Daphnia pulex: one gene and its partners. The protein of the gene in region 4 purifies or fractionates together with the protein of the main gene of each other region. This does not show direct contact. Links are inferred from orthologs where the notes say so. Each region holds a gene or a part of one and is shown on either strand. Other genes may lie near its edges.

What was found.
Region 1: the proteins of forkhead box protein O-like (region 4) and S-phase kinase-associated protein 2-like purify together in Homo sapiens (affinity purification with western blotting; 3 studies listed by BioGRID). This does not show direct contact. The link is inferred for Daphnia pulex from reciprocal best matches to the Homo sapiens genes FOXO3 and SKP2.
Region 2: the proteins of forkhead box protein O-like (region 4) and 14-3-3 protein epsilon purify together in Homo sapiens (affinity purification with mass spectrometry; 4 studies listed by BioGRID and IntAct, with this or other methods). This does not show direct contact. The link is inferred for Daphnia pulex from reciprocal best matches to the Homo sapiens genes FOXO3 and YWHAE.
Region 3: the proteins of forkhead box protein O-like (region 4) and NAD-dependent protein deacetylase sirtuin-1-like purify together in Homo sapiens (affinity purification with western blotting; 4 studies listed by BioGRID and IntAct, with this or other methods). This does not show direct contact. The link is inferred for Daphnia pulex from reciprocal best matches to the Homo sapiens genes FOXO3 and SIRT1.

The regions. Positions count from the first base shown.
Region 1 is NC_060018.1:4,259,577-4,266,931, reverse strand, and holds S-phase kinase-associated protein 2-like, read right to left. Parts: upstream 4,752-7,355; 5' UTR 4,523-4,751; coding exon 4,007-4,522; intron 3,940-4,006; coding exon 3,837-3,939; intron 3,777-3,836; coding exon 3,468-3,776; intron 3,404-3,467; coding exon 3,241-3,403; intron 3,176-3,240; coding exon 2,992-3,175; 3' UTR 2,936-2,991; downstream 1-2,935. Other genes in the region: cyanocobalamin reductase / alkylcobalamin dealkylase-like, read right to left, coding at 1-76, 146-268, 333-403, 483-570, 636-830, 922-999; peptide chain release factor 1-like, mitochondrial, read left to right, coding at 1,347-1,704, 1,760-1,842, 1,901-2,123, 2,184-2,332, 2,404-2,505, 2,571-2,903. UniProt on the Homo sapiens protein: Substrate recognition component of a SCF (SKP1-CUL1-F-box protein) E3 ubiquitin-protein ligase complex which mediates the ubiquitination and subsequent proteasomal degradation of target proteins involved in cell cycle progression, signal transduction and transcription.
Region 2 is NC_060024.1:10,587,334-10,595,398, forward strand, and holds 14-3-3 protein epsilon, read left to right. Parts: upstream 1-2,679; 5' UTR 2,680-2,846; coding exon 2,847-2,910; intron 2,911-4,570; coding exon 4,571-4,770; intron 4,771-4,831; coding exon 4,832-4,938; intron 4,939-5,264; coding exon 5,265-5,402; intron 5,403-5,456; coding exon 5,457-5,671; intron 5,672-5,764; coding exon 5,765-5,826; 3' UTR 5,827-6,214; downstream 6,215-8,065. Other genes in the region: piwi-like protein Siwi, read left to right, coding at 21-162, 230-395, 467-589, 660-835, 901-1,015, 1,096-1,425, 1,492-1,608; INO80 complex subunit B-like, read right to left, coding at 7,038-7,173, 7,229-7,434, 7,509-7,609, 7,669-7,798, 7,855-8,065. UniProt on the Homo sapiens protein: Adapter protein implicated in the regulation of a large spectrum of both general and specialized signaling pathways. Binds to a large number of partners, usually by recognition of a phosphoserine or phosphothreonine motif.
Region 3 is NC_060021.1:10,713,269-10,720,985, forward strand, and holds NAD-dependent protein deacetylase sirtuin-1-like, read right to left. Parts: upstream 4,171-7,717; 5' UTR 4,085-4,170; coding exon 3,982-4,084; intron 3,649-3,981; coding exon 3,525-3,648; intron 3,452-3,524; coding exon 3,190-3,451; intron 3,130-3,189; coding exon 3,007-3,129; intron 2,943-3,006; coding exon 2,749-2,942; intron 2,691-2,748; coding exon 2,272-2,690; intron 2,202-2,271; coding exon 2,084-2,201; intron 2,020-2,083; coding exon 1,748-2,019; intron 1,684-1,747; coding exon 1,493-1,683; 3' UTR 982-1,492; downstream 1-981. Other genes in the region: eukaryotic translation initiation factor 4E-binding protein 1-like, read left to right, coding at 220-364, 495-698, 758-804; neuropeptide FF receptor 2-like, read left to right, coding at 4,936-5,208, 5,270-5,300, 5,364-5,542, 5,627-5,770, 5,841-6,014, 6,080-6,286; calpain-9-like, read right to left, coding at 6,948-6,974, 7,049-7,104, 7,254-7,446, 7,543-7,717. UniProt on the Homo sapiens protein: NAD-dependent protein deacetylase that links transcriptional regulation directly to intracellular energetics and participates in the coordination of several separated cellular functions such as cell cycle, response to DNA damage, metabolism, apoptosis and autophagy.
Region 4 is NC_060019.1:11,773,260-11,781,205, forward strand, and holds the start of forkhead box protein O-like, read right to left. Parts: upstream 4,963-7,946; 5' UTR 4,026-4,962; coding exon 3,549-4,025; intron 1-3,548. UniProt on the Homo sapiens protein: Transcriptional activator that recognizes and binds to the DNA sequence 5'-[AG]TAAA[TC]A-3' and regulates different processes, such as apoptosis and autophagy.

The DNA of each region.
Region 1 (7,355 bases), on a different chromosome or scaffold from region 4:
CCATAATGTCCCGAAAGCTCCAATCCTGCCAACTATTATTGTAGCGATTCAGTAGTTCAATTTTCTTGGTTTCATCCTTAAAAGTAATAGATACTCGTTAAATCGTACATTCTGAGGATACACAAGGATTAAAATAAAATAATACCATAAGAATATCTTTCGGTGGTTTATAGACTAAATCAGGGACCAAGACTTTCTGGAATATGATAACTGCTCTTAAGGCAAACCATCCCATATAGCTGGGATGTAGGCAAACACCATAAATTGGCTAAATGGATGCCAAAAACATTACAAATAATATAACATCAAGGTAATATTCACCCTTAGTTTACCTGGTCAGTTAGCCAGGGAGAATTGATCACATCTGTTTTCTGATAAAAATAAACAGCACCTGAGACGTGGCCTGTTTGAACAAGCAATGAATTGAATTTGAATAATAAGCATAATTGAATAATGGTATATAAGCAATAATTTGAACAAGCCTGCTGTTTGAACAAGAACTTTTGGTCTTCTTGTTCCTGGTCTCATCTCATAATCATGGAGAATACTAATATCATAGCCTGGAATTGACTACACAAAGATAATAGAGTGATAAACTAATAAATAAAAAACAATGTTATTTAATCAAATAAAACCTGAATTGCTGTTTTAAGACAAGAGCTTATGGCTTGATCAAGGTAATCCTGATTATTGCTTCCAGTATTGTTACGAACAAATGGTATAAAGCCTTTTTCGAAAAATGAAGGACTACTTATCACCACAAAACAAAGTGTGTCTTCATGGTGTTCTAATTGAAAGCCAGATTTCACTCGTTCATTGTACCATCCAACCTATAATAAAGAAATGCATTTAACTCTAATTAGAAGTTAAAAAAATATTGCATAAAATAATTACTACACAAAGAAGCAAAATAAAAATTACCTTGAATGGGTGGCATTCTAACCCAAAATCATGTAAACATTCTGTAAGCTTTGTGTTAACTTCGAATAACGTAGTCATTTTGTCGATTACTAACAGAGTGCCATAGAGATATTTGTGTGCGATGCATATACTAGCCTATAACGGGCAGAGGATATTTTTTTTATCTCCAACGTATGATCGGTTTAATTGTGTAAATCAATCCCGCGCACACGCATGTTTCACGAATTCACACTGCGTGAATCAAATTTCAAAACAACAACTCTTTAAACTCACCTTCAGGTTTTTCTAAACAGTTGACTCACCAATCAACAAGATTCCAGTGTCGTCTGCTACCGTCAAAAAGGATTCACTGCGATTCACTGTGATTTTGATTTTGAAGACGTTGAAAATATATTCAAATTACCATCAAAGTTTAGTCATTAAAAATGGTAACTTGGGGTATTTCCAGTAAAATAGTACGAGTTCTAAGTGCCTTACGACGACCGTGTTTCGCCAAAAGCTATGCTAATAATGTAATATCCATTCGCTGTTTGAATCAAACCATTTCACATAGGAGTTTAAATCTCAATCAAGTATCATTCGAAAATATATTTGACCCGAGACTTCGAATTTTCTTATTAAATATCAAGAAAAAGTTTGATGAATCAGGATTTCAAAACATTGAATCAAAGTCTGGAATAGGTGTAGTAAACAAACAACGCATCCAATCACTTGCTGGATTAGGGGAAAAACTATTACAGACTGAAAATGATCTACAAGAGCTTAAAGCTTTGAGTGCAGATGGTAGGTGTATCTAGTTATATTTATTTAAAAATCTATATTAAATAGTGTATCTTAGATGATAAAAATGGTGACCTTGCAAAAATGGTCAGTGAAGAATTTTCACAGTTAAAGGAAATCCTAGTCCAGATCCAAAATGAAGTATAAATTCAGAGTAATCAAGTTTAAATGATTGATAAGAACCCATTCATTGATTTAGGTGTTAGAACTCATTTTGCAGGAAGATAATCATCAAACTGAGGGAATAATCATGGAATTCTCTGCCGGAGTTGGTGGGCAAGAGTCCATGTTGTTTTGCAATGAAATATTACAAATGTACATCACATACTGTGAAAGTGAAGGATGGGACTATGAATTAACAGATATTGAAAAAAGTGATTTAGAAGGTATTAGGCATGCTGCAATTTGCATTAATAATTCAGGTATGTCTTTTCAAAAATTTAGTTTAATATATTAGATACAACTACCTACTTTTTTCTCAGACGCATATGATCGACTGCAGTTTGAAAGTGGAGTACACCGGGTCCAGCGGGTGCCCAAAACTGAAAAGGCCGGACGTGTTCATACCAGTACGGTAGCCGTTGCCATCCTTCCCCGCCCTTCGGAAGTTTCCGTGACCATTGAACAGAAAGTAAGTTTACTAATACTTAATTCTGTTTCCTTGAATGCATGACTAACATTTTTTTTCTTCTTTTTTTTAAGGATCTTAAAATCGAAACAAAAAGAGCAAGCGGCGCAGGTGGACAACATGTAAATACAACTGAATCAGCAGTGCGAATTGTCCATTTACCCTCAGGTGTAGTGGTAAGTTTACCGAACTAACTGAAGTATTTCTCATCAACAATTAAATGTTTTACATTTTTAATTAGGCGGAATGTCAGACACAAAGATCGCAAATGCAGAATCGTAAGGTTGCAATGGATAAAATCAGAGCTCGTCTTTTCCAAATGAAAATCGACCAACAGTTGGCAACTACTCGGTCAAGTCGTAAGCTGCAGGTAGGATCTAGCGGTCGCTCAGAAAAAATACGGACTTACAACTTCCCGCAAGATCGTATCACAGACCATCGAATAAATTTCACTAGTCATAACTTAGGGGAATTTTTACGAGGCGCAAGGCCATTTCATGTGCTCATAGGAAAACTAAAGGAAGAGTCATACAAGGAACGCGTATTTGAATTTTTAGAAAAAATTAAAGTTTAAGTCCGCTGAATGCCAATAAATTGTTTTACCAGTTTTGAATACATCAATATGTATTACTAATTTTTGCAATAAACATGACTTGAATTTTTCACTCTCTGACTTTCATCCCCCAAATTGAGGTACGTCGAATTCCGACTGTAGGTCTTGCTACACTAGAGAAATAAAACTTGTTGATTTCTATACTCGGAAGTTTGGCGCGAAGTGTTCCAAGCATAGTCTCCGTCAATAAACCAAAAATGTCAAGGTATAAAAGACCACTCTTTTGAAACACCCTAAAGGAAATAGAAATGATTAAAATATCTTTCAAATTTTGCTCTCTAACGCCAATGTTACTTACAAATACACGGAGAGAGGCACGTTGTAACATCGAGCCATCGCCAAATATTCCAGTCGCTTTAAATTATCATGAATATAGCTGACACAAATTGATGTCACTGCTGTGGAGTCGCTTATGTCTAATTCCACCAGCTTTGGACAACGTTGACACAAGGCCAGGACATCTAACATAAAATTCGGCATTCAACTTTAATGATCACAAATTTCCAGTCAACATTACAAACTTACGTTCGTCTTTAAGTGTCGTTCGACAACCACTGATATTTATGCGTTCTAAGGATTTTGGTGCAGATGTACTAATCAACTGAAGAGCTTCAGAATTCAAGTCTGTCCAAGCTAAATTCCAACTGTCAAGTTTCTTACATCCATTCACAATCCATTTAAGTTCACTAACTCCAACACCATAACACATGGACATATTCAGCACTTCAAGCTGCTCATTTTGACTTAGTGCCTTGCATGCTCTTTCATCAACAACACAATGTTCCATACTAAGTTTCTTCAGGTTTTTACAAGTATCAAATAAATCAAATAAACCTGCATAATATGTCCAAATTTGTACCCTTATTCCTATAAATTATGACTTGGTGAGATTACCTTGTGTTGAAATAGATGCCATGCTCAAATCCAAAAATTGCAAATTTCGATACCTTGGAAATTCTTGAAGTAGAGGACTTACTGGATATATTGGATCACAAATCTGTACATTGTTTAGAAAAATTAAATATTAGTAGTTGATAACAAAGAAACAAACAAAAGTTAATTACCTCAGTCTTAGCTAGCCTCAAGATGTGTGCTCCTCTTAAAAGAACACTACCTAGAATCGTAGGTTTTAGGCAGGTGCCACTAAGGTCCAACCTCCTCCATAAAACTTCATCATAACACAGTCGTTTCCAACGCTTTGACACCTGAGCACATTTGGCGATAGTTGATTTTGGAAGCCATTTAAATATGCTGAGAATGACTTCGTCTGAGAGGCGTGAGAATCCATCAATTCCTGGGGGACCATCCATCCTCATTCGTTTAGACAATAAAAAGCTATCACTAGATTGGTCATCTTCAGAAAAATCCATTACAGCTGACGGGACAGCAAAAGGTGAACATTCTTTTCGCTTTACAGCAGGTTCAGGAATATTGGAGATCACTACTTGTTTTACTGATGGATTGCTACAGGAGTTTGAATCATCGTCCATTGCAGATAATCCTAGATCTTCCATGACTTCTATCGATACGTCATGGCAATCAAGACTCCACCGTTTAAACCCGGTATTTAACTTAGCCATATTTTGTAGCAACGGGGCAAACGACGAAATCAACAAAGGGAGAGAATTAATAAAAATTTTGGTACATAAAAGCGTACTGGAAACAATTATTGAGCTGAAATGTTTAACCAAAAGGCACTTCAAACTAATTACTGCGTTTATATTGAAAACGTGTAAAAGAAAAATCTACAATCAGCAACGTCCAAACTCGTCACGTCGCGCGCTAAAAAGACACTGTCTGTGGAATCCGATGTTGACCGTTCAACAATTCATTTCGGAAATTTAAAAAATAATGTAAGCAAAAATCTTAAAATTTACCACAGATTTTAACCAAAGTTACTTTTAATACTAAAGTAACGAAATTATTTAGTAAGGAAAGAAAAATATTCAATTTAGAAAAAAATAAGTATGGCAAAGACGGCGGGAATTCAAATTTGCCTGTGTCAATGCGATGATGCCTGTTTGTAGAATATTTTAACTGATTATTATAACTTTAACATTAAGAATATTATTAAAACTTTAACATTAAGTTACTTAGGAAACTTTGAACAGAGTAATGACTAATGAGTAATAGAAATATTCTAATTACTTCTGCTTAGGATCCAGGAACCAGTTTAAGGGACCAGGGAGGAAGCGAATTTCAAAAAAGATTCAATACAAATACAACTGAGTGAACCGACAGAATGATCACAGATGTCTATAGCTACGGAATCAATAACTTTTAATTTATGCAATGACATCGATGTCGCCAACGTGTATATTTATTCATTAACCAAACCCCGAGTCGTTTCGCGCAAAAGTATTTGTTTGGTTGGTGTTTTATTAACCACACTTTGACAATTTGATTAGGTTGAATAATGTCATATGTCAATTTATTCCAGCAGAAAAAAGGTGAAGACTAAGTACAGAATCGTTGACATTTGGATTTTTATACTTATCGAAGAACAAAAAAATATTGATTGACTTGAGGACATAAGAACACGAAAAAAAAAAACTAAATAAACATCGTATGATTTTAATGTAATTTACTTTAACAAAAGAATATCCAAGGCTTTATCGCGATCGTGTCCAGCAGCAACAAGCGCAGAGCTAATCTTACCGTGTTCAAATCCTAAAGCAGACAACTGATCAACTAACACTAAATGATGTTCTAATTGCGTTGGTAATTCCTTACAGGGCTTAAGAACGTCTAAAGCCGTTTCTATTCTCTCAATGGAATGGCCCGATTCTTCCAGTTTCTGTATTAGTAAAAGCTGATCAACAACATCCTTTTCGTTGGCACCAAGTCGAGCAATAGCACGAACTGCATTTTCTCTCACAAATCCCATATCTTGTAGCTGCTGGACTAAACGTTTTTCGATTGCGTTCAGTTTCCTTTCATACGGAGATGCAACATCAAAGTTTGGTTTAGGCACTGGTCTTTTTATAGAATCTGATGTTAAACGAGGAGGGGGAGTGCGAGAACTGAGTCTTTTGTCCGTCACACCTGTAAATGGCGGTTTATTTATAGGGGTTTCTCCCGTCCCAAAACTTACGTCAGAGAGGTCTGGGACACTTTTAGCTTGACGTAAGTTTTTATGTGAGATTGCTTGATTTTGGAATTCTACAGGTATAGCGATGTTCCCATGAGATAGCTTGTCAACACTAAAGAATGAACTTTCATTGGGAATCCAATTTGCTGCAGCTTCATATTGACGCACAGGTTGATGTCTCTAAAATAAAAATTATATTTTATTTTCTTTAGTGAAAAATAAAAACTAAAATAAGAAAAATAATATAAAATAATATGTACATTTTCAGTCCAAGATGGAATTGTTGATGGGTTATAGTTCTGATACTGTAGTCCATAAGATGGCTGAGGGCTGGGTTGGAGCAACATGGCTAATTCTTCTTTGTCATTCAAGGTCTTTAATTCCATTTCCTCAAAAGGATTTGTTGAATAACTCTCAAATTCAGCTAGATTGATAGCAGACATGTTTTCTTTCTTCTTGATTTCCACAGTCGAGCTTTGAATTGGAGTAAGGACTTCCATGGAAGCCTGAGTATGTTGTAGCAATTGCCCATTCCTTGCTTGCAAGTTGAGAACACTTAGTGAGGGAATGTTGTTAGTAAGACTGTTCAAGGAAAGGTCTGAAGTGATCTCTTCAATTTCCTTCTCATCGACAGCAGCTTGACTCTCTAAAAATGCAGATACACTTTGCTTTCTTCTTGTAGTCTCCTGTGTATGTAGATCTCTCATTGAGGCTATCAGCTTCAATGCACTTACTTCATCAATGAGGTCAATCTAAAGAACAACACATAAGGTGATCTTTGATCATTTTTTAAATTGGATCAATTCATACATTATCAGAAAATAAATGAGGAGAAGGTTCGAAGCATAATCCAGGCGGAAGTGTGGGTCTACGAGGAGGTCGGTACTTTTCGCTAATCTTTACAGAGACCCCTCTGAGGTAACTGTTGGCTAATAAAAATAAAGAGTTCAGTATAATTTGGGCAAAAATTATGAAATTTTTTACCAGAAGTAACCCCAGAACGATCCATTATTATCACAGTAATCCAATAAAAATAATTCGAAGCATCAGAGTAGAAGAAACAGGAAAGTCACTACTTCATTTGTTGACAAAAAAGGTTTTCTGATGCCCTCTAGCGTACACTTGAGTACACATTCAAGGTTATGCAACTGTGAAATTGAGGTTTCTTACGGTTGCTTTAACCCATTTAACATCCATGCGTGACATGAGGTTCGAATTTTATCACGAACGCTATAATCATAGACAACAAAGTCGTCGTTGTGTATGCTATAATCAATCTTCTTCTGTATTGTATTCGTAATTATTAGATTCAAAATTATAGC
Region 2 (8,065 bases), on a different chromosome or scaffold from region 4:
TCAATTATTAATCGATTTAGGATCCAGGATGTGTGTGTCTGTGGAATTACAGGATTGGGTTGTATTTACGCCGTCAGCAATGATGCAAGAAATCACACCCTTCGTTAATATGATGAAGCAAGTTGGAGCTCAACAGGGTTTTAACATCCCGCAACCTGAATAGTATGCGACCATTTTTCTAATATATTTAATATTCAATTCATTCTTAAATTACGATTTTCAATAATAGTATTAATATGCAAATGGACCGTACGTCAAACTACGTCGAGGCTATTCGAGCGGAATGTGGTCGAAAGCAATTCAGCCTTATTTTTTGCGTGTTGCGTGCTGCACGAGCAGATACGTATGCTTCAATCAAGAAGATGACGATCTCAGAATTCGGCATTCCATCTCAGGTATCCGTTTGAAAGGGAATCGTAGTTGGCATCTTCATGATTGTTTAACTAGATTTGATCTTCTTGCACAGGTGATAACGGGAAGAAATATCAAGGGACAGCCCGGTAAGCTCATGTCAATCGCCACCAAAGTTATGATTCAAGTTGCTTCGAAGTTGGGTGCGGAACCTTGGAGAGTTGCAGTCCCCCAGACGGTAACTTTTCTCGATCGAGACGTTTGCTTCTTGAATTCTTAATTTATCTTTTGGCTATTATTGAATGTAGAAATGGATGGTTATCGGCTATGATACGTACCACGATGCACGTCAAAGAAAAGCTGTCGGTGCATTTGTTGCATCCATCAACCCGACCTTCTCGCGTTACTATTCTTCTGTGAAAATTCATGAAAACAATGAAGAAATTTCACCCAGCTTCAAAGATCATCTCTTTGGCGCACTCAAGTATGTTTTATTATGCTTTCTTTGTTCCGTGCAAAATAATATCTCTTTTTCATTCGCACAATTAGATCTTATTACATCATGAACGAAAAAACATTGCCGGAAAAAATCATTGTCTACCGTGACGGTGTCGGTGCTGGAGACATTGCGCGACTGAAGGATACGGAAGTGGCGGCACTGAGGGTAATAATGATGAGTGACGGTCTGTGGGAAGATTTTGAGGCTCGTTTTTCTATACAATTATCATTTTTTGGCTTGAGTAGGAGGCTTGTTCCGATGCTGGTGCTCGAACAAATTACCTCGGGACTGGTGTGTATAATCCACCCATTGCGTTCATTGTCGTAAGCAAGCGGATCAACACGCGATTTTTCGCCATGGGACAACGTGGAGCGAGCAACCCTCCTTGCGGCACGGTTGTCGACAATAAAGTGACGCTCAATGAGAGATTCGACTTCTTCCTGGTGTCTCAAAAAGTTACGCAAGGTACCGTTTCTCCCACCAGCTACAATGTTATTGAAGATGACACTGGAATCGCCCCTGATATTCACCAGCGACTGGCTTATGCTCTTACCCATCTTTACTACAATTGGCCTGTAAGTTTTTTTATTTTTATTGTCTATTTTATTCAGAATTGAATTTAACCAATTTGTTCATTTAAGGGTACCCTGCGTATTCCAGCGCCCATCCAGTATGCGCACAAGTTGGCGTACCTTGTTGGTGAATCAATGATGACGCAACCGCATGAAGGACTGAATCGACTTCCTTATTACCTTTGAATTACCTTTCATTTATTTTCTCCCTAAGTTTTGTCATTTTTAACGTATTAATTTGTTCACTCATAAGAAAAAAACTAAAAGACGACGAGACATGCCTCACTCGCACGATTTTCGAATGACGCCAAAAATATTTTTCTTGAGTTTGTTTGCAATGGCGGATATCGACAATGGAAGTGTTTTTCATGCAATTTTTTTTTCTGTTTCACCTTCATGGGCCATGTCAGAAGTGTGATAATGAACGCCCCTTTGTGCCATGTTGTATGTAATCAAGGAATGAGTAATAAACCTTTGTTTTTAAATGAAGTAGATTTATTGACTTTCGTGTGGTGAGTTTTTATATGATGAAATAAACATGAGTTGCAATGGAATTCGCGTTGAGATGGCATTGACGGAAAAGCTCTACGTGTGCAATGCACATAGCACATTAGGTGTTTCGAAAGCACTGAGGAAAACAAAAGAATGTGGCATCGCTGCTTGGCAGGCGTGGTCAAGCTGACAGCTGTATCGAGAAGAATGCAGGCCTGCAAGGCCAACAAGGGTACGTCTGGGCAGGATCGTCTGGGCTTCCTCGATAGTCAACTTTCAGGTCCGCAAAAGCCAAAAGAACTCGCAAGTCATTGAATTGCTAATTGTCCACTAGAGACACCATGCGGCTGTCTCTTTTGTAACCAAGGGATCTCAATCGTCCCACAGCGAACTAAATCGTTTATAAAAATTATTTCAATACTATAAAATGACTTGATTTCATAACTTGAAGCTTTTTAAAAACACGATAAAATAATATTTACGTAACAAAATAGATGGTTGCTAGACATCCAATAATGAATTCACAAAAAGTATGCATAGAATCAAATGATTAGAATGAACATGTCATTACTCGGATAATAGAAAATTTGAATAAAAGTTTTATTTCATAAGAATTAATTAAATACCTAAAAGATTAGACAGCCCCCAAAGGTGTTTGGCCTTGTATAGATGTCAGCACTGTACGCTGCTAGATGCATAGGTAATAAGAAACGAGATCTGGCAATCTGGCCTCTTCCCATCCCATCGACTCTCGCTGGCATTTTCCGCTTTAGCTACAGGGCAAAGCATTCTAGCAAGCGTACGGTGGAGTCTCAGTTGCTAGCTACACTCTTTGGTCTTAGTCGAGACAATTCGAGGCAGGTTCCGATTCCAACGGTCTCGCTTTTGTTTCTTTATCCAGTGACATCTGCTTATAGTTTATTCCAGCAGCCATGGCAGACAGAGAGGATAACGTTTACAAGGCAAAACTCGCCGAACAAGCCGAAAGATACGATGGTACGTAAATGTCATTTAAATGTAAAATCGAAAAAAAGAATGAAGTTTCATTTCCTCTGTGTCTCTATGACTGTGCATCTCTGTGGGTAAAACCGAACGAGACGGTAGGCGGCTTTGAAAAAAGGCTTGGGCGTTTGACAGACTTATGACGTTTTGACTTTTTGTCTTTTTTCTTGTACATTCGGTTGTGTAATGGGGAAATTCAGCGGCGTCCCCCCTCTTAGTGTTGGCTTGAATACTTTCGATCAATATGACACTCGTACTTGAGGTTCATTTTTCCTGACAATTCCATTTTATCAAGTATAGTATAATCTCAGCCATGTTTTCTAGAATCTCTTTTGAGGGTTTTTGTCGCAGTACGAAATAAAAAAAAAGTAATTCTGGGTGTGTGTCCGGTGTGTGTGTGTATCTCTGGGTGGTTTTCCTCGAAACCTACCGCTACGTAACGAGATGACTTGGATCAATGAGTCATGAGAGAGAGAGAGAGAGAGCAGAGACTTTGGACTGTCTCTTTGTATACTTGCTTTCCAATAACTTTTTTATTCTCTTTTTCGTGAAAAATACGTAGTCGTTTCTATTCAACTTGGGCCTCTCACCATTGCGCATCACCAAGGCGACGGATCTCTTCAAAACGACGCTCGGTAGAGTACCCCACCCTTATGTGCGTGATGCGTTGGGGGTCCTGGCTACGTTGATGAAAACGTGCCGTCTAAAAAAGCTTCTCTCTCTCTCTCTCTCTCGAGGACATCAAAAAGGAAACCGTTCACACAACAATGGCCGCCTGTGATGGTTAATTTTCTCTTCTATATTTTTCTCTCGACTCTTCTGTCTGCGGCTTACAAAAACCAAGAATCGGTCAAGCTCTGACAGTGGGCGGAGAAACCCGATGGAAAATTAGCCACCATTTTTATTTTTCGTCTTTTTCCTTTAGGAAAATATTCCAACTGGTATGAATGGGGCGTTTTTCTATTTCCACATATTTTCGAAAAAATAGTTGTCGCACGTGACGCGTCTCGTGCCTTTTGTCGTTGTAGAAAAAAAAAATTAGTTTTTATATTTTTAACTTTATTCCCCCCCCCCCCCTTCACGTTTCAATGATGGAGGGAAGTTGGAAAGAAGAGAAAATGCGGTGTGGGTGTGTCGCCCTAGAACCTGTCATTACGCCACTGCGATGTGAATCCAAGTGGAGAGCCTGTCCGTGCATACAACTCGATCGTCTGGTTATTATTATTTCCCTGAATTCAAACATGTACGCCCAGCTGGAGAAACTTTTATTTTTCAATTCCTCCCTTAGAAAAAAAGAGGACACACATAGTTTTGTGTGTGTGTGCGTAACGTCAACTCGGTTTGCCCCTGTACTTTTCCTTCCTTCCGCCGTGGGGATGCTGATGTTGGGGGTTATATGACGACTGCGACGTGCTGGATGTGTGGAGAGCGGGCGGAACTAGGCGGTAGCGTGTTTCCTCCCGTGGCCGTTATTGATCCGCTACTTGAAAAGTCGCTCGAGTGTGGGGGGTGGGGTAGACAGGGAGATGGGGGGGAAAGAAGGCAAAGCCTTTATGTCTGAAAGTGTATCTATCTTTTTCTGTCCAAAAGAGAAAGGGATCCTCTGACAAGTTTCTTTGGCTAAGACTATATGATAATCTGTTTGTTGATGCAGAAATGGTCGAGTCCATGAAAAAGGTGGCGTCGATGGACGTCGAGTTGACTGTCGAGGAGCGGAATCTGCTGAGCGTGGCTTACAAAAATGTGATCGGCGCTCGTCGTGCATCTTGGCGCATCATCTCGTCCATTGAACAGAAAGAGGAGAACAAGGGAGCCGAAGATAAACTTGAACTCATCCGCAATTACCGCAATCAGGTATGGATAATGTATTCAAATTTTATTCATTGATTTGTGCCTTTATCTGTTTTGTCTATAGGTCGAGAAAGAGCTGAAGGACATTTGCTCTGATATTTTGAGCGTCCTCGAGAAGCATCTCATCCCATCAGCCACCACTGGAGAATCTAAAGTCTTTTACTACAAAATGTAAATCGATTTTTGCTTGGCCTTTTTTTTTTCAATCTTGCGAGTAGTAGTTGGACATTCCTATTAAATGCACCGGTGGATTTCTCTCAAAGTCCTTGAGACTCGAGCGTCTGTGATTTCGAATTCTACTCGTGTTTCGCTTTGAGAGAAAAGAAAAAGTGTCGTTACTATCTCTACCAAACGTGTACACAATTTTATCGTACGTAAACGTTGCGCCAAGCGCAACTTTGTGTGCGCGCAGACATGTTGTGGATGGATGGCCTGGTATTGATTATTGACGATTTTACACAACTCCCTTCCTCTGCTTTTGTCGTTGTGTTATACAGGAAGGGTGATTACCATCGGTATTTGGCCGAATTTGCGACAGGAAATGACCGAAAGGAAGCTGCAGAGAACTCGTTGATGGCTTACAAAGCCGCCTCCGACATTGCCATGACGGAATTACCCCCCACCCATCCCATCAGGTAACTTAACTAACAATTTGTTGCCGATCCTCAACTTAACTTTATCATTTGTAGATTGGGATTGGCCTTGAACTTTTCCGTCTTTTATTACGAAATCCTCAACTCTCCGGACCGAGCGTGCCGGTTAGCCAAGGCAGCTTTCGATGACGCCATCGCTGAGCTCGACACCCTTTCGGAGGAGTCGTACAAGGACTCGACGCTCATCATGCAGCTCTTGAGGGACAACTTGACCCTCTGGACTTCCGACATGCAGGGCGATGGAGAAGCTGGTTAGTAGAGCAACAGCTAATTGATTTTTGTCCAATCACGCCAACAGGACTTGTGTGTGTTAATAATTAAAATTTCCTTTTTTAAAAAAATTGATCAAGGAGATGGTGAACCAAAAGCGGAAGTCGCAGACGTTGAGGACCAAGACGTCTCCTAATCGGCGATGTAATTTGTATTGATGTGTTTTTTTTTCTTAAGTCCTACATGATTTGTTCAATTTTTTCATTATATTATTAATTTTTTTTTTTCAACAAAAAAAAAAGTAATCCGGAAATCCACCACCTATGTTTCCTTTACTCTTATCTGTCTCCCATTCGCTCCCCCTCCCTCTAATTGTTCATCCCGCGCTCTTCATCGAACACTGGAAACTGCATTACAACAATTACCGAAACGGTTTGCATGGACACGTGTATAACTCCTCAAAAACAAAACAAACAAAAAATAATTAATAAGCAAAGGCTGTGTGTGGTTTTTGTTGTCATTCCCGTTGTCCCTGCCCTCTGTCTCTCTTTAATTTCCAATAATCATTTCCGTTATCTCTTGGATCTTCCTCGTCGTTTTATTCGTCGAAGATCCAGCGTGCCCGCACACACACACACACAGACGATACACAACACACTCACAGTTTCAATTTCTCTTCGGAATTTTTCTCTCTCTCTCTCTGCGATGTAGTCTGGCGTCACACAAGACTTCACGTGTAACCTTTTAAAACAAAAGCTGCTGTTGTCTTTTCAACTTTTCTGTAAAACTGCCGCGATTTCTTCATTTCCTCAAATTTGTATCAAATGGGATTGAATTTTCTACCAGGGGCTACTAGAGAGAGGAAAGCTGAAGAATTCGAGTAGAGGTAACTGTGGAAAAGTATTTGATTCAGTCTTTCCGCAACTAAATAATTGGCAATGGATTTTTTGAAAAGTAAAAAAAAACACGAATGGAAGAATAATTTCTTGGCTTCGTATCGCATTTTCCCCCCTTTACTATTTACTATTAGGCCTACTATTAAGTTTTTAACTTTTTCCATGTCGCTCGAGCCATTCCCTATTTATTTCTCTGTGGTGTCCAAACATTTGCTCACCATCATAGTTGGGAAAAAACCAAGAAGAAAAAAAAAATATTTGAATTTTGGAAAAGAATTTTTTTTTTGGTCCGACGTGATGTAACCAGTCTCCTTTTTTGCAAAGAAAAATAATCTCCTTTTCCTTTTTCTATCATCTGTCTGGTTGTAAAACAAAATAATCAAGAGGATGACCGCTGCAGAAAGAAAGCTAGGTCAAATACACGCGCGCATTCTTTTGTCCTCGGTTTCCACAAACAATAATTTTTTTCTTATTTAAACACATTTTTATTTTGGTTATGTTAGACGCATCATCATGATATTCTGTGCAGTGTCATATTCTTTCGGTAACATTGGATACTACAGAGTGGCACTGCCGTCTTGGAACATGAGTAGCGCTTGACATTAGTGCATCCTTGCACTCCACAGTTGACTCGAGCAGGTGGTTCTCTAAAATAATAGACAAATTAACTTAAGTTTTATCCATTTGAAAAACATTACATACTTGACACTCTGTGGGGCCAATGGAAAAGCAGCTCCAATAGGTACACTAAATGTTATCTCCCCGTCTTGTGTTTGTTTCCACGTGTAGGAAGAGACGTGACTGGGGACGGAAACAGAGGCTGATGAAGTTGAAGCCGAAATACTCGCAGCACAGGATTTGTTCAGTTTACTTTCCTTCTTCAAGAGAAGGCGATCGATGGTTCGTTTCTGAGTAAACGGGGAAAAAACCAATTCAAATTACAGCGATGAAAAAAGAACAATATCTCGTGCGTGATTAATACCTTTTCCTTTTCTCTTTTTTGAGCAGCCACTTCCCGTCGTCGTTCGGATTTAATGGCTTTCTTTTTCAGTAACTCTTCCGTCATCACGGTTTCCTTGTAACCTGAAACAATCCATTGTCAACTTGCATGGCTGAATCTTAAATATTTTAGAGGGGTGTACCTGTTGGCAGAGCTACTAGTTCCTCTTTGATGATTTCTTCGTTCTGCAATTCTCCTTTCCGCTCTAAGAGCGCGCGTTGGCGAACAGTCATCAACTTGGGGTTCTTGATCTTCTTGAGTTCATCGTCAACCTGTGGAAAGCCATTGAAGATTATGAGGGGCATTTAAATATGAATCATTGCTATACCTCTTCTAATTTCCCTGATTCTAAAGCCTTGAGCCATGCCTCTTCTCCACTTGATCCTTCTCCATCATCTCTTGTTCTCTTTGAACGATCTCTCACTCTCTTTCTGGATGAATCTTCCACTGGTTTGGGTTTTTCTGGTGTGTTGTCTATAGGTTCCTGCTCTTCTTCTTCATCATCTTCTTCTTGTTCTTCTTCTTCCAAATCTTCATCT
Region 3 (7,717 bases), on a different chromosome or scaffold from region 4:
TAATTTTTCCAGATCACCTGCCATACGCCTTCTTCATTTATACGCCGTAAGTTGAGACACATGGTGTTAAGTAAGTTGTTGTCCTATGCATGACATTAAATATTTAGTTATAATGAGATTTTGGTAGTTTATTTTCGCATAGCAACACACCATATGTTTGATCGCCACGCGGTAGTTCATTATTTTGGTTATCACTATTTTTCTTTTTAGACTGCCAAAATGTCAGCGTCACCAATTGCTCGCCAGGCCGCTCAACCCCAAGGTCAAGCCATCCCAAGACGAATTCTCATCAATGATGCCAGTCAATTACCACATGATTACTCCAGTACACCCAATGGAACTCTGTATTCAACCACTCCTGGAGGTATTTAGGAATGGGTGTTATGATGTCTGGTGTGCCCTTATGACAGGCACAGCTGTGTGGTTTCTAAAATAACAGTTATTCTTTAGTTTTTTATTCTTGAGCTTATTCATCACACCTTTCGTTTCTTTAGGTACAAAGATTATCTATGATAGGAATTTCTTGCTGCAAATGCGCAATTCCCCTGTCGCCAGGACTCCACCCAAAAACTTGCCTGTAATTCCTGGTGTCACATGCGATAGTCCTCACAAAGAGAAGTCCAAGTTGATCAATGGGCAGAAAAATGTTACTGTACAGCACAAACCTGTGGAGCTTCCAACTGTTGAAATTGAAAAAGGTTTTTAAAAACTTCTTGTTTTATGAATTTATATCTAATAATACTTAATTCTATTGCAGTTGAAGACAAGAAACAGGAAGAACCTCAATTCGAAATGGATATTTGAATTTGTTTCAAGTACAAATCCAAATAATCTGTAGACTTCAATATTCTTTGAACTTGGTCAGCAAACAAGTTCTAAATCAAGATAAAGTGATGCAATTTTTCTGCTTGTAAGAAGCATTGAATTTTTTTTTCCCAGTTAACATGGTTGATTTTTATGACATTTCACTAGAACATCAAATTAGAGTGAAAAAGAAGTCATGGTTTATTTTCCCTTCTTGGTTCAAGGAGAAGTTTTTTTTTATGTGGGGGATTTGTTTTGTGCTTCAAATAAATTGATGGATACAGAACAAGTGTAAACGCGAATACAGACAAGACATACATACATTTAGTAGAACATTTCAAAGTAATTTAAGGGAAATATTTGAAATTTAATCAATAGTTCATGCTCACCCTCTCCCGGTACCCGACATAGCCGACCACCTTTCTGCAGGTGCAATAGATAATGGCCATTATTTCTTGAAGATTGGTGAGGTAGATTGCACTGAACATTTCAGAACAGCTTGCCAAGATTTCACAGAAAAATGAAAATTCCACTTCCCCTTATCCATAATACAGGAAAAAAAAGAAATACTAAATACCATCGAGAGATTTCGTCTATATACACACGCTTGAAGCTTTTAAATAGAATCCATATTGTTAACATAACAATGGTAAAAACAGAAGCTTTGTCGTTGCTTCGGAATACGTCGTCAATCCATCGCTTTCCTTTTTACTCCATGCTCCGGGAAAGGTTGAGTTGAATCTCCTCCATCAATTCCAGACGAATCGCTGGAATCAGAGGATGAGTCAGAATCGGACTCTACCTCTTCGTCTGGGTCATAGAAGAGTTCAGCACCAGGAAACAGGTATCGACCAGGTTGGACGGTGAGATAAGTGTTTTCTGAATTTTATGCAAGGAAATGCATATAGATGACATAGACAACAACCGAACAAAAATAAATTACCTGGGAGTTGATCGGCAAGATTCACTTTGATTCGCGGCTCCCACCATCCGGTCATGTCATGAGTAACTGGTTCAACATCACCAGACTCGGCTGATTCCATTTCTAAGCTTCCTGTAGACATCCCACTGTCCCGGCGTAAAGGATCGTCTTGATCTCTTTTGGGGAAAATGGGTGCAGGTACGGCGACAGAAGGAGTGGGGCGTGGTGGTAGGCGACTGATCTCTGTTAGAGGTTCGCGGTAACAAATGTCATCTTTCCATTGTGTACCCAGTCTGATTGTTACAAGAAGATTGATGAGACAACAAATTTGGCTGATGAAAATTACTGTATACTAACAAATGACACAGTTGGTTGACGATAATATCGCAGTCCCCAAGCAGTTCAACATCAAAGACCATGTGGCGGAGAGGTTCGCGATTGATAAGAATTTGCGGAACATGATTCGGTAGGGCGCCTATTTGAATCAAGAGAAACTTATTGCATATGAACTTTAAGGTTACAAGATGACATTTAAAATAACTTACATGGGATGAGTGCGACAGGGCGGACTTTGAGCGATGACCCAATCACGATTATCAGGTCACATTCTTCTTTATCGAGTACCATAGCGCGGTGAAATTCGTCTGGCATTCCTTCTCCAAAGAAAACAATGTCAGGCTTCATGATCGGCTGGGCCGATAATGCCACCGACGACGATGTACTGGCCTCGTCTTCATTTTTCGACACATCCGAGCATTTCGGACAAAGTGGAATGCGTTGTTCCATTATGTCTTTTTCTATCTCGTTCGAGGGGACGCGATGTTGGCAGCGCAGGCAAGTGGCAGTAGCAAACGAGCCATGACATTGGATAACCCTTTCGATATCTGCTTGTTGTTCTAGTGTATCTATGTTTTGCGTGTAGTTGCGCAAAAGCTTGTTTTGTTTCTCTAGCAAACGAATGAACCTAAACAAAATATCGTTTCATTAGCGAAATTTCAAAATTGTCAAGAGAATTTGTTTACTTGTGGCATTTAGAAGGTGTAAACTGTCCTGGCCAAAGGTCTCGGGCGAATTTAAAGAACGGTCGGGGATCTTTTCGGAAGTAATGGATATCAAACATAGCTTGAGGATCGGGCAAGTCAGGGAAGTCGACGGCTAAGCGAGCGTAAATTCCATCACGGCTACGAAAGTCGGGAATACCACAGGAAACAGAAACCTAAACAAAATTTGTTCAAATATAATGAGGTAAATTATTTTATAAAAAAAAAAAAAAAAATTACCCCTGCTCCTGTAAGAACTAGAATCTTTTTACAGCTACGGAGTAATCTGACGGCATCGGATATTGCATTTATGTGGCGTAAACGTTCCCGCCTTGGAGGTTCACTGACAATATTCACGATTATCTGTTTTATTCAATAATTATGATTAGTTGCCTTGACAATGCTACAAATTTATAATTTTACCTTCCAAAGGGTGACATCGTCAAGATGGGTGGGGATTTGAGCATCATTTGGTACCAACTCATTCAGGATGGTTCGAGGATTGGTACCAAGAAGCATCTGTTGTTGCACCCAAGACATCGTCCCTGATGATGGCTCCCAGTCATGATTGCTCAAGTCACTCAACCCACTTATGTCTGAAACATCACTATCTGAGGAGGTATCATCATCTTTCTCCAAATTGCCCATTGAATCATCAGCATCTTGAATGGCTGGCAAAGCATAGCTACAAATAAATAAATAATAAAGTTAGACCATATGTTTGTACACAATAAAAAGAAGACATTAGTCCACATTACCTGGTAGATGGTAAATCATTAGTGAGATTTTCATCCTCGCTGCTGGCTAAAGACGTTAACTCGCTGAAGCCTGAATCCCCAGCGTTGAACATTTCACAGCTTCCTAGTTGTCCTGCATCATTTGCTGAAATTTAAAAAAAAAAAAAAAATATTTCAAGTAAGCTCACAATGGATCAACTCTACAGCCATCAAGAAATTTCAACTCAAGAAACCAAAACAGTATTTGACAAGTGTCATCACACTGTTATGACATTCAAACATGCCGCCCCAAAATTTTGGCAACGCAGCAATCGACCAAAAAGAAGGGCGTCTCCCCTCCCCCCCCCCCATCCGCCAATGGCCGCACTAACGAAGCAAAAGGCCATTTACCTCAAAACCGAATGCAATCTTTTGCTAACAATTTTGATTAGGTTCACAAGTACATTAAATGAATGAAATCGATCAAACGGGTACTTACAAAGCTGTTGGCCCTCAATAAAGGACTGTGAGATGTCAATCGGCAGCAAAGTTCTGCTTCGTTTTACGGGACTGTGAAAGTTCTCGCCTTGTTCGTCGGCCATTGCTTCGTCTTCCGTCGATCGTGGGGTAGAGGGCGCTTCTTCTTCTTCACAAATTTCGGGCCGCCAGGTGGCAGGTCAGCGTTGCCAGTATGAATCGAATTCGTCCCGAAACCGGAAGAAAATATGCGCAAGGACATGTATACATGAAATAGGAAGGGAATTAATTCAAGGCCTTTCCTTGTCGAGCTTTTATATCAACCTTAGTCCACTTTCCGCACGTTGCGGTTCAGATAAGGCATTGTGATTTTCGCATAAGGAGGAAAGCTGCTGATTATAATTTTTTTTTTAATAGGAGGTTTATCAGAAATGCAGTATCACCAAATTAAACTGAGAAAAAAATTAGTTCAAGATGTACTAAACATCACGAATGAGGTTACGCGATATCGGGAAAATAATTCACGTATGGCATTTGTACTAGAGAAGCGACCCCGAGGTTTGACTGACTTATAATATTCGTGGACCATAAAACCAAATCGCATAGGGGTGAGCCGGCCCGCGGTGCGTTATACCCCCAAAAGTTGTAAAACATGGTCTAGCGATTTGACGAACTTAATTAAATCTGATAGGCATAGCACACGGGGCCGCCCGATATGGCCGCTCTTGTTTGAAAGCGTGCGTCACAACAATTGCGCTGAGTGTGTGTGAGGATTATTAGTGCTGCGGGATCCGGTAAGTACTTGACTCCAGTCGAGAACGATCAGGCTTGATAAACAACAGCAGAGCTCAGTTGCTGGATTTACCTTCCGACAAGCAAGGAATTACTACTTTTTTCAATGTAAGTGAATTCATTGTTTTCCCACACGTAATAACCGAACTCAAGTCGTTCGTGCGAATTTCAGACTTTCACAGGAATGGATTTTTCAAACGTCAACTTCCCATTTCCTTTGTGGATTGTCCGTCCCACCTGGGAGTGCGCCTTGAAAATCGGATTCTTCGTTCCTGTCATTATCATCAGTCTGCTTGGAAACGGTTTGGTGGTTTACCTCATGGCCACCAATCGATTTTTGCGCACTTCCATCAACATCTTCATTTGGAATTTGGCCATCGCCGATCTTTTAACTATCCTACTCATCCCGTGGATAATTTTAATCATCGATCTCTACCAGATGTTCATTCTCGGAGAGGTTTCAAAACCAGTCAGTTTTATTATCAAATAATTATAATTTCCATTACATTTTTGGGAAGGTTATTTGTCGAACCGAGGGATTTTTAAGAGGTAATTCAAAGCTTCATTTTAAAAAAAAAACTGGCAAGTAATTCATATATTTCAAATCAAAAGTGATGCTGATGTTGGTGGACGTCTTCAGCTTGCTGGCCGTAAGCTTTGATCGTTTCTTTGCCATCGCATTTCCATTCCGCCCGCGGATGGGCCAATCGGCAGCCTACATTATTTGCGGAGTCATCTGGATCCTTTCAGCGGCCATCGCCTCTCCACTCATCGCAGCCCGCGTCTATAAAGTACGACCAAGAAGCATTTTAAATTGATCAGAATTATTTAGGGTGTTATATCATCTGCCGCCGCCAATTTGACTCAACACACAGGAACGACAATGGAAGGATATATTGGAGTCCTGGTGCATCGACAACACTTCCTTCTCTTTCGTGTACTACATCTCCCTCGACGCTATTCTCGTCTGGTTTCCCCTCATCGTCATGACTGTTCTATTCATTTTCATCTTCATTATTGTATGTAATCAGCTTCTTTTACATCCTCTTGATTGGTTAAAACGGCAGCAGGTTTCAAATACGTTTACAGATGAAATCGCGGACTTCGACCTGCTCTGCCATTCAATTGAAGCAGTTGGCCCAGCGTCAGAAAATCATTCGGATGCTTTTCTTCATTCTGATTGGCTTCTTCATCTGCTACCTGCCTTTCACCATTTCCATCATCGTACGAAATAAAATCGTCCTGGGCAACAGCATCAATAGCGTGAGCATTGACTTTTGATTATTCACGGAAAAAATGGCAATTGATTGAACATTTCAATAAAACAGATCCCAGATTGGTTGCGCTCCTTGTTGTACACGACGCGCTATGTCATGTGTGTAAACACAGCCATCAATCCCATCATCTACGGATTCTGCAACGATAACTTCAAGAAAGCGGCCGCCAAACAATTCCCGTCGCTCAAATGGGGCGTCACTCCGGTGGCCGCCACCATTTCCGCTGCATCAAACACAGGACGAGTCAATTCGGATTAAATCAAATTGAATTACCTTTCGCGTGTAGATTGAGTTGTAGCCCATCTAAAACAAAACAAAAAAATATTCTTGAAACAATAATTTAGTGAAACACATTGGAACGTTGACATTTGTGACTTTATCTAACGGCAATCACGTTAGATCTCTATTTGATTCAATGACGACATTCCATGAAACAAAATGTGCAGTGGAACAGAAATCATATTATATATTATTATTATGGAATCAATGAACAAAATACACGAGTCTTGAATAAGTGCAGTCATGTATCATTGAAAGAAACTTTTATTTTTTTTTTAATTTATTGATTATTATTTTTTTTTTTTTTGGTATTAGCCTTCGGTGTCTTTTGGACTTATTTATACACTTTTCTTTTTTTTTTTTTAATTCTTCTTTACCATTTTCACCGCAAACATCCGGTGACAAGGTGAGGCGTCGTTGTCGCCGTCGATTGAAGAAAAAAAAAAAGGAACGTCGTCGATCAAAAAGAATTTACTGTATACATTTCTAAGAGCGGGCAAATTGACTGGTATTTTACGAAACTTTTTTCTGTCCCCCCCCCCCCTTGTGTTTCTTTTTTTTTTTTTTCTCTTTTTAACAATTTTATGTCCTCAGACTTCCTTGGTTTCGTCTAGTAATCGACGGTTGCGGAGTAGTGAATTCAGGAGTAAATTGTCATCAAAATCATCTGCGAGTCGAAGACGAAAATAATTTAAATTATTGTCGGTCCCCTGGAACGTAACAGCAATTTGTTGTCATTACCTCTTCCAACGACAGGGGACTGCCTTTCATTTTCGAGTCAATGCTGAGATATCGCTCTGCGGGAGGTATTCAATGGAAGAATTAATTGATGTCTCGATAAAAATAGCAAATCTAAATGGAGCATATTCAACTTTTTTTAAAGCTAAAGGGCATCGTTGTACCCAAAATCCGGACGGGAAAAACAAATCAAACTGCCACTATTTACCGTGGGCCAAATGAAGGCGGACGAGTGCCATGACGAAAGCTTCGGCTGTGAGAACTCGGTTTTTGGCGAAGCGCAAGACCAAACATTCGAGCACTTTGTTACTGACGGTCAATCCAGATTCCCACAGGATGGGTCTCAAATTGTAACTACTCGTCTTGCCACCGTGGGCTCGGTCGTACTTGCCAAAGGCCACCTGGCAAAAACAAACAAACAATGTCAGCCGATAATTGGAGAAAATGATTCCAGTCAGACTAGCGCTTAAGACTTGGTTTCAAATGTTGTTACGTACCCGCCAAAAGTGTAGGGTGTGCAAGAGGGCGGGGACGTCAATCAGATTAATCTTGCCACTAATGTTGAAATCCCTGAGCATGATGAGACTTTTGCAAAGCTCCAGACTGGGCGGCTTCTCCGAGCCCATGAGTGAATTGAAACAGGGGACGTTGGCGCAGCATCCAGACGGACTG
Region 4 (7,946 bases):
TAATATAGAAGCTCTATACATAACAACCAGTTAAGTATTTTTATGATGATTATATTTTTCTTTTTTTTTTTTTTGTGGGTTTGTTCACCTTTTCGTCCGTTTTTCACAAGGGCATATGCGTGGAAAAGGGGGGAAAAAAATTTGGCATTTGGCGTGTTTCTTTCACACAAATGTTCTTGGTGGCTCTCCCCCCCTCTCTCTCTCTTTCCCCCTTATGTCCGAATTTAACCCCATCGAACGACCTTGGTATAACTCGCGAGTAACGCATCACAGGCCTGTACGTACAACCACGAGTATGGCGGCGGTACTACAACTTTTTTTTTACCCCTTCGCAAATTTTTTTTCTTTCTTCCATTGCACTCGCATTCACTCGCTGTTTCTCCCCCCATCCACCACTCTTCACCCCTACCAGCACACACTCACATATTCTTATTCCACCAGCAACTCTAACGAAGGTTGGCACAAACTTTTTTCGGCGAATACCCAAAAGAATTTCGGCACACGAGGAGCCCCGCCTGCTCGTAACCAGCCATCACAAGTTGATATTTCCTTCATTCCATTTCTTTTTGGTTTAAACTTTAAGACTTAATTTCTATGCACAGCACACAGCCAAGAAACTCAAAATGTGTCTAACGGGAGTTTCAATGTCCACACATTCCGCGATGATGAACATCTTTCGAGATGCAAATCATCAAAGTATTTGCTTGATAGATTTTCTTTTTTAAAAAAGAATAGAGAGAAATGTCTTGAGCTCTCCCTCCACCCCTATAGAACAAAACCCAAATAAAAGATGATTCGATTAGAGAGGACTGTCATTGTCAATGCGAGCCATCAGCTAATTAGCTTGTGCGCTGGTTCCAGCACAGCAGCTTTCTTTTTCTTCTTTCGTCTGCGATGTCTAGCCAAAAAAAAGCCTGGGCTTGCTGGACATGTCCAGGAGGATCAGAAAATAAAAAAAGATCCGAGTTAAAGCATTCCATATAGGCCCAGCGCACACACACATACATCCGTACTACCACCACCATCAGATAGATATGAAAAGGGAGAGGGGGTGGTCGCCCCTTTCGAATGACCCTATTCGCGACTGTACCTCATTTTCTTTCAACTTCTTTTATATTGTTATACCCTGTGATACACAGCAGTAGGAGCAGGAGCAATACTACGGCGATGTGAGTGGGAAAGGAAACTGGCATATGATGGCTGGGCATCGCCAATTTCCAGGCGTTTCGCCATTCTTAGGAAGGGAGGAGGGGGCTTTTGTAACCCGATCTGACCCTGGATATATAGGTTCCCCCCCTCTCTCTAACCTCCCTCTGGGTCCGCTGTGTAATGGCCTCCTGCTCTATGTGCTGTACGACGTGTACTATACCCCTTTTTTTCTTCAGGGACGAAAGAGAGAGAGTTGTGCTAATGTAACCCTCTCTCCCCCATCTAACCCCTTTTGCTTTCTTCAGCATCTTCGCCGATTCCTTTATAAATATTCGCCAGGCCTGCATGTACTATGACCCTTTGGCTGACCTCGTTCTCCTCCCTCCCCCCTGTAGACATGCAGCAGAGGCTTATAATGTACTACGTTTTCTTCTTCTTCTTCTTTTCATGAAAAGTAAAAGGGGATGAAGGTATTCTTCGACATGCACCTTCGTCTTTCCACACTGGCGAATATTATTATGATGAAAAGAATTAAAAAGTATACACATGGGGGATTTTTACTCTTTTTTGGAGGGTGGCTAGGGAAAAAAAAGGGTTGGTCGATCCCTATGGAAGATTTGAGGTTGCAAAAGGAGCAAAATGTGATAAAAATCAAAATGAAAAAATATTTCGACGTACCAATTGTCCGTACTATAGTTAACATTTGAAAAAATATATCGCCAAGGATCGAAAGTAATATCTATAAACTAGTACGAACTCAATCTCTTTGGTTACTCGAATCAGACACAAAAAAGGTTCCATTGACTCGAAAGAATTCGTCTCGATGGTAATCAGAACAAAGAACGGGAGAACGGTAATTGGAATCTCGACTGAATTTGAATCGTCGACGATGATGGCCGGGTGTCCAATAATATAGTGGAACCTTGATAGGAGTTTGAGAAACTATCCGGCTCCTCTAACTGGTCAAGCACATCTCTAATGCGCTTTAAAACTCTATACACACACACAACACTCAACGGCTGGTCAATAAGTTCTATATAGTTGATCGCATTTATAAAAGGCGACACAAGATATGCAACGAGACGACGCGTTTCTGGTTTTCTTTTTCTCACCAATTCATCCGTTCCGCCATGTCCGTCTACACAGATCCGCGCGATCCAGTAACCACCAGCCGGAAGTGATGGACCGGGGAAAAACAATTCTTGTAAAGTTGTAATCAACATCACACAATTATCAAATTTGTAACTTGGTCGCATTGTCACTTATTAAAAACCCCCCGAACAAAAAAAATTCGATCGACGTTTTTAAATTTCAAATTGAAAAAACCGAATGGGAGCGTGAAACGAACTGTAGAGAAAATAAGTAGAGCAACTTGTCCAGCAGCGGCAGCAATAACGCCGAAAAATGCCGGAGCCCTTATATACATATACAAGTCGGGGGTTTGATTCTATACATCATATGCTGTAGGATATAATATCGTGACGTTATATAGAACGAATGAACGCGGTTTCGGCTTGCCGGCGCCATCTCTTTCCAACACACACACGCACGCACACAAAAATGGAGGAGAGAAGATCTAAACAGCCGTGACGTCACGGCCTCTTCACCGCCGAACCTCTTCTCAAGGCCGCGCTCTCGTACACACACACTCACTCACACTCGTCCGTCACGTGACGGCTTTCTCGTTTGTTTTTTTATTTTTTCCTATTCCTGCGTGTATACTGTGGCGGACTTTTCACAAGCCAACGTCCCGAGTCTTCAATACGGACATAATTATTCATCACGTCGGGAGGGAATACATATAAATCGATCCGAGTATAGTCAGTTTATCGAGTTTAGAAGTAGATGCACTACATTCCCGTCGTATGCACACAGGATAAGTTTTAGATCATTGACCCTCCTCGGCCAAATGAAGTCCGGACCCGAGTGTCGATAAGTCACACAAGAAAAAAAAGGGGGGGGGGAGACGGCGGCGCTCTCAAATGAGACGGTTCAGCTGCTGTGCGAACGCCAAAGTCAGAAAAACAAAATTTAAAAATAAAAAAATAAACGAAGACCGGGAAAAACCGCACCGGATCCGAAAAAGAGTGAATAGCGCACGGCACACTCGAATCCGCGCATTGAATCATTCATTAATCAGCTGGGGCCCTATTATCATCAGATGAAGGGCGTCCTTATCATCACGCGGGTTTTCCGACGTCACTTTTTCTCTGTGTGTGTGTGTTTGCAGTCGAAAATCCCGCACGCACCTCCCATCATAGTCGAGAGAGATTGTGTCTACCCCACTACACACACACATACACCCCTGGCTGGTAATATTATGATTCAATCATCTAGACTTATGATGACGTCATTTTACACGGGATAAATGATAAAGAAAGACGATAATAGAGTCTTACCTTCCATCCTGCCGAACTGTTGCTGTCGCCCTTATCTTTGAAGTAGGGCACGTTCTGGACCATCCAGTCGTAGATTTGCGACAGGGTCAGCCGCTTCTCCGACGACGATTGGATGGCCTGCGTGATTAAATCGGCGTAAGACATGTTGCCCCAAGCGTTGCGTCGGCTCGAATTCTTCTTGGCTGCCGCTGCCGCCGCTGCGGCCGCACTGCCGGCCGCCGACCCACCGGAGCAGGAGCCGTCCAGCAACTTGATCGAGTCCATGGGGCTGCCCATGTTCAGGCCCATGCCGCCACCGACCAGGCCGCCCATTCCACCGCCACCGCCGTGGCCGCCGCACAGCGAGTCCACATCGCACGGCTCCTCCTTGATCTCGACGTAATTCTCCGGGCGCGGCAACGGCCACGTGTTGGACCTGGCCCGCTGCTGCGGCTCAAAATTCGAGTCCAAATCCAAATCCAAATGAGCGTGAGCCATTTTTTTTCAATTTCTTCCGATTGTCTTTAATCAAAACCAAGTCCAATCAAACGAACGCGCGATAACAAAAAAACAATTATTGAAGGAAATCACTTAAACACTCGGCTTGTAATAAACGACGACACTGCCTAATGATGACGACAAAGGGGATTGCGTTAGTGTCATATTCTTTCGTCGGGTCGACAGGTGCGATGAGTGATGCAATCCAAAAAGTTGAAAATCAAAAACAGCGTCACACACGGCGCTCGCGCTTTTGCCTCTTTTCTATTTTTTTTTTCGAATCTGATTCGTTTAGATTAACGCCAAAGTTTTGATGCGAGTCACACACACGAGCGTGTCAGGTCTTTGGGAGCGTATGGCAACAGGACTGCTGGTCGTCGGCGCGCCATAGGGCAGCAGCAGCAGCGCAATCTGAACCCCTTTTTCGCTGATTTCGGTCGAAGGTTGTGTGTCTGTGCGGACCAAGCGAACCGTCGTCTATTTCTTTACTCCCCGACCAGAAATAAAAGAAAAAAAAAAAGAAGAACTGGGCAAAGCAGCTAAAAGGTGATGTGGAAAGATGCACGATCATGTGTTGTTGCCCCGGCAGCAGCGTAGCAACATCGGGCAGCAGATTGTTGTAGTTTGGCAGTGGAGGCAGACGACGCAAGTGCGCACACTCGACAAATAGTCAAACACACGACCCGCTAGCCAAAATGATGATGCGTGTGTCTCAACCGAAAATATACTACTACACACACACACGGGAGAGAGGGGGGGGGGCAAATAGAAAGGCGAGCGAGAGAGCACTACTAGAGTTTGGTATGTGAGTTTAGAGAAAAATGATGGCAGTTGTCCGATAGTTCGTCTGGACTGGGCGAGAGTTGGACGCGCACTGAAGCCGCTCAGTCGTACTTGGGATTTTCCACAGCACAGCACACGGGCACACTGGCACATAGACACTAGAGGGCGAGAGGGGCGGAGCCGGCCTTAGAGAGAGAGAAGCGAAAAAATAAAATGAAAAGGGGGCAGCTCTCTCATACCCGGCCGCCACCACGGGAAAACGTCGTGTACAATTTTTTTTTTTCCACTGGCACTTTATACACATACTATACACACCAACATGCTGCGTGATAAAGCCTCTCTACACAGCCTTGGCGCTATGTGGGTCCCAACAGTTCCGGCAACCTTTTTCGTTTTTACTGACTGTATAGAAACTCACGAGACCTTTCTAGATGTGATCCGCTTCATTGCCATTCATATTTCAAATTCCCCAAATTTTTATTTATTTTTTCAATTTTTCCTGTCGACTATTGGAATGCGCATTTCCAGCGCGATTTTCAAATGGGGAAGAAATAGGAAAAAAATTCATTTTGATTTGTTTTTTCCTACATGTGAAATAGTGGCGCGGTTGTTTCTAGGAGAGCGGGAGAGAGAGAGAGCCCAGCTCTCTGCTGGCCCAGCTAGTTTTCGGTCGCTTAAACTCGTTCGATGCTGTTCGGCGTTCTTATTTTGCTGGTAGTGGTGGAAGGAGAGAGAGAAAAAATAAAATAAAAAAACGTGTTTTTTGATATTTTTTTCTTTTTTTAGGGCGGCGGTGTGGTGCTGCTGCTGGAGCGCTCGGGCCTTCAGCCAAACGGCCAAGGTCGAATTACTGCGCATATCACAACTTCCCTATCCTTTCTATCAACCACCACCACCACCCGAACAACCTACTATACTACTACTATACACACCTCCCACCTCACTCCTTCTTCTCTCACCCTCAGAAAGCCTCTTCTATAAGCTCTCAGCAATCGCCCATTATCAAGGCCGGCCCGGCCCGACCGTGTGTGTGTGTCTGCTCTCTCCCTTTTCCATCCCACTCACTTACCACACACGTTTATTGATAGAGAGAGTACAGCCGAGCTAGACCGTGTGTGTACACCTAGAACCGCGGTATGCCTGCGATCGTGCAGTTCGTTGGCAGAGTCATCTGGCGGCGCCATTCTCACGGCCGAGTCCTAATGTCGCAACGATCCGTAGAAGATGTAAGGCGATGGCGCTAGTTACTACGCCAGTCATTCACGCGCTCCGTTAGATTCTCCCGACTCAAAAATATGCGGATGGAAAGAAGAAGAAGAAAAAGAAGAAAAGGAGAAAAAGGCACACAGTTGGTGAAACGGCAAGTGTATCGTGGCTAAAGGCAAGGCTATTGTGTATAGTAGTGGGACTGGGACCCACGACATGTGACTGGGTACGAATCCCGCTCTCTGTCGTCATTCTTCTGTATACTAATGCCAGTCGGGAAAACTCATTTTTACTTCTTTTTGCCTTTCAGAATATCTTGTTTTGATTTCATTTCTCTTGCACGTCGATGGGAAATTCACGATTCGAGTCGCGTATATTTTAGTTTTTAGTAAACGCTGATTGGCTTTTTCGACTGGGACAACGATGGACTATTGCGAGAGATTCAGACCTTGTGGCGCCCGTCACCAATTTGCTACGTCCGATTTTGAAATCACACAGGATCATTTTCCCTTTTGTCGTTATCTAACATTGTAGAATATTAATCAAGAGCGCCGAGAGAACTTTGGCGCGACTCTACGTCACTTTTTTCCTTTCCTGCCCAGCTGCCCGAAATCTAATTTTGAAATAGTTGTTTCCCGAGAGATGGCGCTCATCTCCATTGATTCAAAGTTCCCCCCATTCAAAAAGGCGCCGCGCAACACATTTGGCGTTGCGAATCCACAAAAATTTCAGACGCACAAAATCGCAAATTCATCACTAACCAGTTTGCCCTTGAAGACAATTCCAAAACATGAGATAAAGTATACCAACGCTGACTGCTGCGCAAGCGTGTTGCGTAACATTCGCTTCTCTTAAGTAATCTATTCTGATTCGGCTGACTTTTTTTTATTATTATTATTATTATTCGTTTTTTTTTTCCATCGTCTTTTTCATTTCCCAAATGCAAAAGTAAAAGATATCACGATTTGGTATAGAGCACAGATTAGGCTGGCTGCTGCTATCGTGTGTTGCCATGCCAACCGTCCATTTCGATAAAAAGGGGAGAGAGAGAGATCACATCTCGATGCCCCAGCCGCCGCCGACGAACGGCGAGACTCTAATCTCTTTATATCAAAAGAAATTTTTCGAGCATGTACAGCTTGTAGTCAAGCATATTCGTTCAAAGTTTAAATTTTTTTTTCTTTAATTCAAATTTTAAGCGAAAAACAAATTCCACCATTCTTTAAATAATTTCCCGCTGCCCAAAAAGTCGATTAAAAAAATGAATTTGATCAAAGAACTAACCGCTAAAAAAGGTGCGTCAATTGATATTTAATGCGATTGCCAAATAACAAAAGACAACTCAAAACGTGACGATAGAAAACGTGTGCGATTGTAAGCTGTGTATATAGGATAGGACATACGTCACTGCTGATTAATTGATGTGATAAAGAGTGAACAGTTATCTCCCGAACGCGATTAAGAAATATATATATACCCGCCGCGGGTACAATCATCTAGTAGTGCCGAACTCTGCGTGAGCTGATGCCCCAATGGGAAATGAAGATGTCTTTCGGCCGGCGCAAGCTGCTGCCGCTGCCGAGCTGCGCCATTATACGTCGAGTTTATTGATAGGAGCAAAACTTGGCGATAAAAGAGAGAGAGAGAGGGTGGCCGGTGAAGGGTGCTGGGAGGACTCTCCCGGTCTCGGTCTGGGTCTGGCTAGTGTATAGTAGTCGAGTTTCCGGGAAAAAAGTTTAGCTAACTTTGGGTTGGCAGATTGATTGCTGTTTACCGAATGCAAACGGCGTTATAGCCCAAGGGCGATGAAATTCGACAGCGCCGGGCGCCCCCCCCCCCAAAAAAAAACGCGCACATCAGTTTAGCCATTGAACTTTTGCTTCCGGCCAGCGGCATCAGTCGTTCAGAGAGTTTCTCTCTCTCTTTGAGATG